Mus musculus: one gene and its partners. The protein of the gene in region 1 interacts with the protein of each later gene in a biochemical or structural test. Links are inferred from orthologs where the notes say so. Each region holds a gene or a part of one and is shown in the gene's direction. Other genes may lie near its edges.

Region 1 (3,654 bases):
GTTAGCCTCTGCAAGCAAGTACACATCTGTATACAGATATACACACTCCTAGTTAAAATAAAAGACAAATGTTGAAAATACCCACTTTAAAGTCAGAATAGGTGATTAGCTCTCTGAGTGTGAAATTGAGAAATTGTTGAAGAAATAGAAGTAGGTTTATAATTTTTTATTTGGTCATCTACCTCTAGTCAGATAACCCATTTCCTGTTGAATAGTTTATTGCTCTCTGCCTGACATCAGATACCATTACTGCCATAATCCTGTAAGATTTTTAATGGAAGCTTTATTTTTAAAAATAAATTAGGGTTGGCAAGGGAATTTGAACTGCTCTTCCGGCCCATTTGGGCACTCCATACATGTGCTTCACAGATATATATGCCAGCAAAAACACTCATATACACAGAAAGTAAATCTGAAAGTATGTAAGTAAATAAATCTAAGGTATTTGGCAAGTGGCTTTGCAGATAAAAGTGTTTGCTAAATTTGATCTCCAGAACCTACATAAACATAGGAGAGAACTGACCTCACAAAGCTGCAGCTTACACACACGTGCCATGGCTGTGCATCCATACATCATGCATGCACATACACAATACATTTAAAAACATTCCTAAAAGTATACTTAGAATGTGAGTGAGGCATAAAGCAAGATTTCTTTTCCCTTGCAATTCCTTAGGATCACCTACCTGATGGAAGTACTAATTTTGAATTCTCTCCCATGGAGTTCTGATTAAATTGATGTAGCTTGGATGTTGATAATTTTAAGAGCTTCTACCAACTATTGTAATTCAAGCCAACACTGTGAACCAGTAGCACCACAGCTTAATAGCACCAACATCTGTGACTCCATTGTAACCTTGGAACACTGCTCTGTCACAGCCCTTACTGCTAACCTACGCTTCTGGCATCAATGATACATGTCTTCATCATTACTTTTCTTTCCTTATAGTTGTGTGTGTGCATGCATGTGTGTATGTTGGTGTTGGTGCTGGTGATCAAACAAACCCAGGACCTCCCATATGCTAGGCAAAGTGCCACACCTCTGGACCGTATCCATAGCCACCTTTTCACTTTTTATTAGACTGGATGTTTCCTAGCTTTCTAGTTTTTAGGTTTTTTGTTTGTTTGTTTAAATGTTGGCTTCTTCCACTTTGTGGAATGTATTTTCATTACATCATACTTTCTTTTTGATGATTGTTTTTACATGTTAATTATCTTCAGTTTATAGTTTATAGTTTGTGTATACTTTATCAAAGATTCCAAAGGAACTGATTGTAAGAGCCTAAAGATGTTCTTTACTGAAAAACGAGGCTCATTTTAATTTCTTCCTATATAACCAATTATCCAGTTGAATTAAAAAGTTCATTTCTATACTTAAGGCTCTACCATTAAATCTTATTTCCATATGCAGTATACCTATTTCTTTCTTATGTCCATGTTCTGTTTTGTGTATTACTGGATCAATCCTGAAACACTATTTTAGCATTTTGCAGTTGTCTTTGTTAGTAACACAGTATAAACAACAGTACTTCACATGAGATAGAAGTGTATTTTAAGAAAGAACAGAAGTGGCAGCCACCTAGATTTAATTGCCCCACAATTTGATGAGACCTTGGCTCCTTCAGCAGCTTGCTTCCTGTCTTCAGTGCATGGCTTCCATCTTGAAGGTCACCTGTGGGTACAAAATAAAAATAGTCACAGTCACGGTGTCTGTGTTCTAAGCAGATAACCAGGGAAAAGAATCACAAAAGGTACAATTCTCTATGTATCCTTTTTGAATATTCTACTGAATTTACTTAAATTTCTTTGTAAGAGAAGCTGGGAACTGTAGTCTTTTGACTAGGTTCATATCAGTTTAGAATTAAGCATCTTTTCCTTTATTATGCAAGAAGAAAATTAGAGTGATTGTAATTACCGTGGGTTTATATTAAATCTTGACATATGGTATACATGGTACATGCCCATAAACCCAGTACACTGGGGGCAGGAGGAGGACAGCAGGATTATAAGATTAAAACTAGCCTGAGCTATACTATATTCTACACTACACACACACACACACACACACACACACACACACACACACACACACGAGTAGAGGGGAGACACCATGAGAACACCCTTGATGTGCAGTTGAACAAGTGCTCTTTGTTTTGGCTATCTGGAATCTTAAGGAAATTTTGAGGTCAGTTGTTCAAGTTAAACATCCATACTGGTTTTCAAACCAGGTTGAGGCTTTGTCTGTTCTAAAGTGAGGATCTGTTTGTGCTAAGTCTCTCTTTGTTGCTTTTGATGTGCAGTTTTATTGACCATGTAGTTTTAAGTTGGCATTTACTTTCTCCCAACATTTTAAAAGTATCACACGGTTTGATTTCTGCAGGATGCAATGATGCTTGGGGTCTCAGTGTTTAGTGTTTAGCAGCGGCGTTGACTGAGAAAGTGAAGTTGCTAGGCTTTCCTTCAGACCTGACTCAGAATATTTGAGGTGTGGGGTATCTCAGCAGGCCACAGACGCGATTCTCCTCCTGTAGTGATAGGCTAGTCAGACTTCCCTGGAGTTAGAGAGAAGTCTCCTCTTTGAGTAATAGCAACCCGCAGAGTGAACAGAACCTGTATCCTGTTCAAGGAAGGGTGGTGAAAGGAGTTCATTGGGTCAGCAAATGACAGTGTTGTCCTTACACCTAGTACAGAACATGTTTGAGAGGATCTGGCAGTGGAAAAGAAGAAATTCACATTTCCTCTTACATGTGTTACACATATGTTACACATTTAAACTAGGTTATACTTCTTATTTACAAATAAAGGAACTGAGCTTAGATTCAGGTGATACAGCCAAAAATGTATACCTTAGAATATACACATAAATGTCCAGAATGTGTGTGTAAATTTTTGGTACTTTCTACTATGCAGTTAATGTTTGATAGTAAATAGACTATTGTTGTTTATCTCATCTATTTAATTTATTCAAAACAATCACTAAGATTTTCATACATACTGATTCTAGACCTTTCATTTTCTACTCATGTTGTAGGCCAACTGTGATCTCAGGCGGCAAATAGATGATCAACAGAAATTACTTGAAAAATACAAAGAACGATTAAATAAGTGCATATCTATGAGCAAGAAACTACTTATTGAAAAGGTGAGTTATTACTAAATTTTCTTTTCCCTTAGTAGTAGTTTGCTCTTCCTTTCATGCTTTTAAAATCTGAATGAATAACCTGGCGGTGGTGGCTCATGTCTTTAATCCCAGCCCTGGGGAGGCCGAGGCAGATGAATCTCTGAGCTCAATGCCAGCCTGGTCTACAGAGTAGATTCTAGGCCAGCCAGGGCTACACAGAGAAACCCTGTATCATGAATGAATGAATGAATGAATGGATAGATGGATGGATGGAAAATTTTGAATGACTATAATGATTTTTTTTCTCATTTTCAGAGTACACAAGAAAAATTGTCTAGCAGAGAAAAGAGTATGCAAGATCGGTTGCGCCTTGGGCACTTTACCACAGTTAGACACGGCGCTTCCTTTACAGAACAGTGGACAGATGGTTTTGCATTTCAGAATCTTGTGAAGTTAGTAATGTTTACAATTTTTAAAAGTTATTTTTTTGATTGTGTTTGTATGTATGTGTGTGCGCACGCGCGTCAGACCTG
Region 2 (4,221 bases), on another chromosome or scaffold:
AATGGCCCTTCAAATACTCACCAATGGCCCTACTAGATAGCCTGCTCCACACTCGCATCTTTCTCTGAAAGTCTCTTTGGAGTTTGAGTGTCTGGTCTCCTGTCTACAGATGCATTGTATGCCCACAAACCCCATGCAGGCGACATTTCGTAAATCCTTTGCCAATGGTCTAACAGGGCAGCCATGCCTGCCACCCTGTGAGAATTCTGCTGTTTCTAGAAATCAGCAGAAACCTTGGAGGGCGGTAGGGGTTTGTTCTCAATGTAGCTAGGCAGCTCTCTGAAGCCCAGATTCATTGACATCTGCAGGGGAGGGATGCTGGGACACATCTGGTTGCTGACCTGAAGTTCTGATGCATGGATTGAGTTAGGGACCTAGCGTTCCAACATCCTCTAATGTCCTGGGTACCAAGGGTGACCTGAGCAGCTGTGAGCATTGGATGTCACTGTCCTGAGTGACTCTCTTGCTTAAAACAAGTTTACAGTCGCTCCATCTTAGGTTGGACTAGCACCTTTTTCTTGTCTTTTTATCCTTACTTCCAAATCCCAGAACCTACATCCCTACACACACACACACACACACACACACGGTTCCTAGGTAAGGACCAGTTAGATGTATCTAGACTGCTGTGGAAATATTTGCCTTAGGAAGACTGGCAATTGGACAGAGTCACTTGATTCTCCACCTTCTCCACCTTCCAAAGGATGTGAAACTCCCTGGGAGTCAGCTCTGAGTCCGCCTGTACTCTGCTCACCTTTGTATGCATGGTAGGTGTCCCCGGCTTGTCTGAATAATCCCCTGGTATGGTTTATCTCATGAACTGGAGACTTAGTGCGATCCCCATCCACTAGTCCCTCCCACACACCCAGAGCCAGGCTAATGGAGTCAAAAGATCCATGTGATAGCAAGGAACTTGTGTCCAAAGAAGCAGCGTCTACACAGAGGATTCCTGAGTGACAGAACGGGGAAGCTTCCTTGCTGGAGTCCGGAGCCTACTACTTCGTGACAACAGGCGTCCTAGGCCCTCCAGCCAGCACCTGTGGTCTCAGCTCCAGCTTCAGTCCCAGAACACAGAGATCCACCTCAGGCCTAGTCGGGGACAGGTTCCAGGGCTCAAGTTATCCGGTGGTTCTGGGCGATGCCATTTAGACCTCTCTTGCCAGGTCCTGCTCTTCAGATTCCTGAAGCAATAAAGTCCAGAGAGCAGCGGTGCGGGAGCGTAGGGCGGTGACGAGCAAAGCCCCGCCCCACCGCTCCGAGGGCTGCCCTGCCCCCTGGGTCCCCGCGTGTCCCCCGCCCTCCCAGTGGCGCGCGTTTACCTGCTTTCAAGCACTGGGAGGCGGGGCGGGAGCGGGGTGCGCGCCCGTCCCCGGAGCAGCCGCTGTCAGTCACCGCCGCTGCGCGCCAGGGAGGACCAGCCTCTGGCTCAGGCGGCCTGAGCTTCACGACCCCGGAACATAGTATCCGCGCCCCAGCGACCCCTAGCCCAGCGTTGGGTCCCATCCGCCGGGATCCCGGGATCCTGGGCCCCTCTTGGCCTCCGAGCAGCAGCCAGCACCAGTAAGTGATCATTAGCAGGGACGCGAGGGGCAGCCCTGGTGCCTTTGTCTCGGGGCCCCTGCGAGCGGGAGACCCCGGTACGGAATCTGACTCCTTGAGAGGCGAAAGAAGGGGCCTTCTGTGAGGGCAGCAGAACTCTGTTTCCCTTCTTCAAGGCCAAGAGTGTCTGGGTCACACCTGACCAGAGGTGCAGGTGGCCCGGCAGGTGGCAGCTAGGCGACCTCCGGGACCCGATACCACGTCGACAGCCCCGATCTTTCTTAGGAAGGGTGGACGCGAGTATAGACTCAGGTCCACACCAGTGGGGACTGGAAGCCTGGGGGTATACAGGGGTGGTTTCCAGCTAGCTCTTGGGACTCCGGGGTCGCTGAAACTCGAGAGGCCTAGGCTTGGTGAGGGGAGGTGGCGGAGGAGTTTAGAGGGAGGAGGTGACCTCTGTCTAGAGAGACCGCCCTCAGCTACGGAGAGGGGTCTGATGGGCTCTGAGGCACACTAGGGTCCATCCAAGCCTGCGGTGCCTGCTGATCACACACCTGCTGCCCAGTGGGCGATCCCTGCCCTGCCCTTCCCCACGAGGAGAAGCAGTTTCCCTTTGAGCAGAGGGCGGTGACAGGCACTTGTTCAGGCTTCCGCCTTTCGGGGCCTGTCTCAGGCTCCTAGGCCCTTGGGCGCCGCGCGTAGCCCCCAACCCACCTGCGGCCACCTGCTGGCACTGGCACTGAGTCCGATCTTCCCGCGGTAACTTGATCTCCTGGTCCTGCCTAAGCGCAGGGTCCCAGTGGTTCCCGGGGGAGGGGGGGTGCGGGGGGGCAGTCCTCGTGTTCTGCTATGGTTTGTTGTAAACTCTGGTTTTTAGGGCTTGTATGAACCGCGCGTACCCGGTTTGGGATTTTGAGGTGGTAGTCCAGATCCATGTTTGGAACGCGGAGCAAAGCTTGGACAAGGGTTTGGTTCTCCGAGGTTCTCCTTGCTGTTTGCTAGCTAGACAGCTGCCGATCCACACAACATACGAGAGTGGATCTCTGTGTTGGGGAAACTCTTGGAACTGGATTGTGGGAGACAAACATCAGGCAGACATCATCTTTGCCTACACACACACACACACACACACACACACACACACACACACACACACACCTAGAACGACTTTTTCAGAGAAAGTGAGTTCTCATTTAAGACCTGTGGTTTGGGAGAGTCCGTCTCGCTAAGTTCAAAGGGCCACCCACCCGCTCACTCCCCATGGCTCTCCCCAATAGAGCTTACCTGCCAACACCTCTGGGGTGGGTGTGAGCACTCGGGGTCGGGGACAAGGCCATCCCAGGCCAAAGCACCTGAGAACCAGAGGCCTGTAGTGCTCTCTCAGACAACTGTACAGGTGCACACCAGTCCAGGTTGGGGTAGCCATCCCCAGCTAGATTCTCAGAAACCCGAAAGAGAAGATATGTTTTAAAATAATCATGAATGTGAGATGCAACTCCTACGGATTTAATGTTCTGAAACGACTGCTTTTTATCAACTTGAGATTTAAAAAACAAAAAACCTAGTATGCTCAAATCCATTTTGTAAATCCATTTAATGCCTGTTTAGATGTGGAGTGTTGGTTCTTTGTGGAAATGGTGTGTGTGTGTGTGTGTGATTTTTTTTTTTAAGAAAAAAAAAAGATGTGTGAATACGGAAAAAGAACCTAGCCCTGTCTTTCAAGGATGTTCCAGTTTAGACTGATTCTGGAGTGCTGAAGCTCATTTTCTTTCCTCTTCCGGTTCTTTGTGATTTTAATCTTTAGATTACATTTATTTACGTGTGTGTGTGTGTGTGTGTGTGTGTGTGTGTGTGTGTGTGTGTGTGAATATGTGTGCAGGTCAGAGGATGACTTGTAAAGAGTAAGCTTTCTTTCCACAATGTGGGTTTGTGGGTTGCAGGGATCAAATTCAGGTCGTTAGCCTTGGTGGCAAGTGATTTACCCACTGACCCATCTCACAAACCCCTCTCCAGGTTCTTCCAAACAAAGTCAGCAGCTGCCTCCCCAGGAGCAGGTGGCGGTGGCTGACCTCGCACTAAACAGCAGGCTCCCTGCTGAGAGCTGTTAACTACTGCATTTACAGCTTAACGGCCTTGGGAGAGCTCCCTCCTTCCTCCCCCCTCCCCTTCATTACATTAGTTGCCTCTCAGGCACTTGGAGACTGAAGAGCCACCTGGCCCCATTTGACCCCCTCATGGCCACTTGAAGGTGCCCCCTTCAGATAGAGATATGGCTCTGTGGTTAAAGACACCTTACTGCTCTCGGAGAGGATGTAGTTCAGTTCCCAGCACCCACATCAGTTGGCTCACACCTGCTTACAACTCCAGCTCCCAGGAATCCAGCATCATCTTCTGTGACTCTGAGGACATCAGCGCTCACAACATGCACGTACCCTCATACATACATACATACATACATACATACATTACCAAAAACAAAAATGTAAGCCCACCACCAGTGAATGACCATGCCTATTAAAGCATCCAGTCTCTGTCTCCAGGTGACCTGACACCCAACCTTGTTGTTATCCCTTCCTTGGCTTCCATTGCTGTCATTAAAGAAGAAAAGTAGGTGTCCCTGTGATTCAGCATTACGTGGAAAAGCCATGGCTTTGCAGAGAGGGGCTCTTGCTAGTCCTTTTG
Region 3 (2,919 bases), on another chromosome or scaffold:
GGTTTAGTTACTGGTGACTAACTAAAGTACTCTATCTGCTAGGCCTTACCATAGACTAGAGTTAGTTCTCCTTTCTGCAGGTGAGGGTGGGATGCTTTTCATAGTCTGAAGATCTGTTGATCCAGGATTACTCTTTGTAGAACCTTTGTATGGCAGTAAAAGAGACTAGAACATATTACTGTTTCGGAAACTGAGATTTAATATATTACTGCTAAGATCCCAATAATTAGGGGTTTTGTTTGGGGAAAATTGTTCATTTGAAGTCTGGTTATTGTATTTTATTTCTTAGTGCTTAGCATTGAACCTAGGGACTTTTCCAGAGTATGGCCAAGGCAGTGAGCGATATTCCCAACCTGAAAATACACCAGGCTAAAGACACACTTATTTAACTACCTCTAACAGGGATACGAAAGGACCTTTCCCTCCCGTATGTATTCTTTAGGTAGCAGAAGTATAAGAGCAGGTACTTTGTTGGGGGGTGAAATATGTTCCCCACCCCTCACTTCCCTTTACCTTGTTTCTGAAGGCTAATAGTTCTTTAGCCCTTTGCTATTGTGGTCCTTACTTATTAGTTATGTGTAAGTGCTTCACTTGTTGATGCCTTTGCATATGAATTTAGTCTTCTAGAAAGATAAAGAGAACCACCCAGTTTGCACAGGGTAATCTAACTCCCTTAGTGCTTACCACTTAAATGTTTCTCTTTCTAGCTTCAAAGGAATATTTTGGCATCTAATCCCAGAGTCACAAGATTCCACATTAACTGGGAAGATAATACAGAAAAACTGGAAGATGCAGAGAGCAGTAACCCAAATCTACAGTCCCTTCTTTCAACAGATGCATTACCGTCAGCGTCAAAGGGATGGTCCACGTCAGAAAACTCACTCAATGTTATGTTAGAATCCCACATGGACTGCATGTGACCACGTGCCATCCCATTAGTACAGATTAAGCTATTAAAAACAGAACTATTTCCCTGAAGTTCCGTAAGTACATAGTCAACGTGAAATGTGAAGAATTTGTTTAAAAACATCCTGTAGAAAGTTTATAAGAAAAACCAGTATTTGAGCAAATTGTGGATTATAAATACAACTATTTTTAAGTACTTTTTTCTCTAATGTGTTATTTTATTTGTTCATGAAACTAATCTGATTAAAGCATATATATTATTTTCTTCTCTTTTATATGTAATTAAAGCACTTATATCAAATTATTAGACCAGGTTGTAAAGGTGTTGTTTTAGCCTCTTGGACAATAAGATTTACTAGCTTTTAAAAAAACAAAGTTTACTTCAACTAAAATGATTTATTCCTGTGAAGATAGTGTCCTTTTAATTTGAGGAGAAAACTTCCATTCTGTAGTAAAAAAGATCACATTAAAATGGGATTTGAAGTCAATTATATGCCACCAGGGTTTTTCTAGGCCACCCCAGTGCATCTTACCACAACTTGTGTTACACCAGACTTCTAGTTTTTATATAACAAATGCAGCTGCCTTTGAAGTCCCTCTGACTATGGTGTATGCTTCCTTACATCTAAAACTGGGAAACCACGACCATAAATCATTGTCCAGAGATTTCAACATGGCAAGAGCAAATACAAGTTCTCTAAAGTGTAAGATTACATTAAAATGGTTCAGATCTGCTCTTTCTTTCAGTTTACAGAAATGCCGAACTTACAAGGGTAATTTAGAAAGGCCTGGTTAGCTTTATTCTGGCTAGCTACTTTACGAAGCATGTCTTACCATTTGCAGTTGTATTACCCCATATCCTCTGGCTCTCATTAACGTGTAAGATCAGGGTATTTTCTGTAGTTGACATAATCTACATAACTTTTCCAGACTTCTTTTTTTCTTTCTGAAGAGCAGTTTTAGAAAGGATAAATGGGCCAAAAGTGTATTTTCTTTAATGAGAAGTAAATACTTCCTCAAAGTTCTGATCCATTACATTTACAGTACAGTATTTTCATTTGATTATGGTGATGATGCACAGGAGAGCCATGGGATGCAGGTTATGCGGTGCCTTCACATCTAAGCTTTTATACTGCACTTTTCAAAACAGTCTGAGGAAAAGGAAAGGGCATTTGTCTAAACAGACTCTTTTAAGTTGTATATATTTCTTGCTATTTTAAAAGGTAAATTTGTGCAACCAAGTCTTGTTAAATGTTAAACTTTGAAATTTAAGACTCCAGGTTATTACAGTATTGACCATTACCCAGTTCATAGATTTTAAAAATAAAACCTGACTACTAAAACGATTTGAAAAAAAAAAAATCTCATTTTGTCTAACTACAATTAGGAGAAAATGTTAAAACAAGAGTCCAGTGATCAAAACAGTAAGAATCAGTTTGTTAGAAATAAAACTAAATCTTCAAGTTAAGTGATTCACTGGAGTATTAAGTCTGATTATAAAAACTACTTTGTAATGAGATTATGTGGTTAAGGTTTTATATCAATTTTTAAATATATGGCCCATTGTCACAAAAGTTTGAGACATAAAAACTACTAGTTTTTATTATTTAAAAGTTACTGCTCTATAGAATTTAGTAAAAGAATAATAGAAACATTTAAACATTAACAACTAAGAAACTAGCATGCAGTGATTTTAGGCATTATGTCTGAATTATAGTTACAAGGAAGACTGCCCTCCACCCCATTTCTTATTTTTGAGATATGATCTCTCAACATAGCCTTGGCTGTCCTGACCTCTCCATGTAGACCAGGCTAGCCTTCAGCTCACAGAGATCCACCTGCTTCTGTCTCCTGAGTGCTGACATTAAAGGCGTTCTACTCCATACTCAGTGCTATTTCCTCTTTTTGATCAGTGTAAATGAATGTGTGGTGAATACATAACACACACAGCACACACACTCCATTCGCGCAGCTGAAGAGCTAGGTTATGATGGCATTGTTTGAGTTGAGGAA

What was found.
Region 2: the proteins of Tlk1 (region 1) and Mbp form a complex in vitro, tested with the Homo sapiens proteins (2 studies listed by BioGRID, with this or other methods). The link is inferred for Mus musculus from reciprocal best matches to the Homo sapiens genes TLK1 and MBP.
Region 3: of the proteins of Tlk1 (region 1) and Asf1a, one has a biochemical effect on the other in vitro, tested with the Homo sapiens proteins (3 studies listed by BioGRID). The link is inferred for Mus musculus from reciprocal best matches to the Homo sapiens genes TLK1 and ASF1A.

What each region holds. Positions count from the first base shown.
Region 1 is NC_000068.7:70,745,422-70,749,075, reverse strand, and holds part of Tlk1 (serine/threonine-protein kinase tousled-like 1), read left to right. Parts: intron 1-3,031; coding exon 3,032-3,142; intron 3,143-3,436; coding exon 3,437-3,573; intron 3,574-3,654. UniProt on the Homo sapiens protein: Rapidly and transiently inhibited by phosphorylation following the generation of DNA double-stranded breaks during S-phase. This is cell cycle checkpoint and ATM-pathway dependent and appears to regulate processes involved in chromatin assembly.
Region 2 is NC_000084.6:82,473,835-82,478,055, forward strand, and holds the start of Mbp (Golli-Mbp), read left to right. Parts: upstream 1-1,288; 5' UTR 1,289-1,560; intron 1,561-2,140; exon of another isoform or gene 2,141-2,298; intron 2,299-4,221. UniProt on the Homo sapiens protein: The classic group of MBP isoforms (isoform 4-isoform 14) are with PLP the most abundant protein components of the myelin membrane in the CNS. They have a role in both its formation and stabilization.
Region 3 is NC_000076.6:53,606,958-53,609,876, forward strand, and holds the end of Asf1a (histone chaperone ASF1A), read left to right. Parts: intron 1-175; exon of another isoform or gene 176-707; coding exon 708-920; 3' UTR 921-2,025; coding exon of another isoform or gene 2,026-2,057; 3' UTR 2,058-2,268; downstream 2,269-2,919. UniProt on the Homo sapiens protein: Histone chaperone that facilitates histone deposition and histone exchange and removal during nucleosome assembly and disassembly.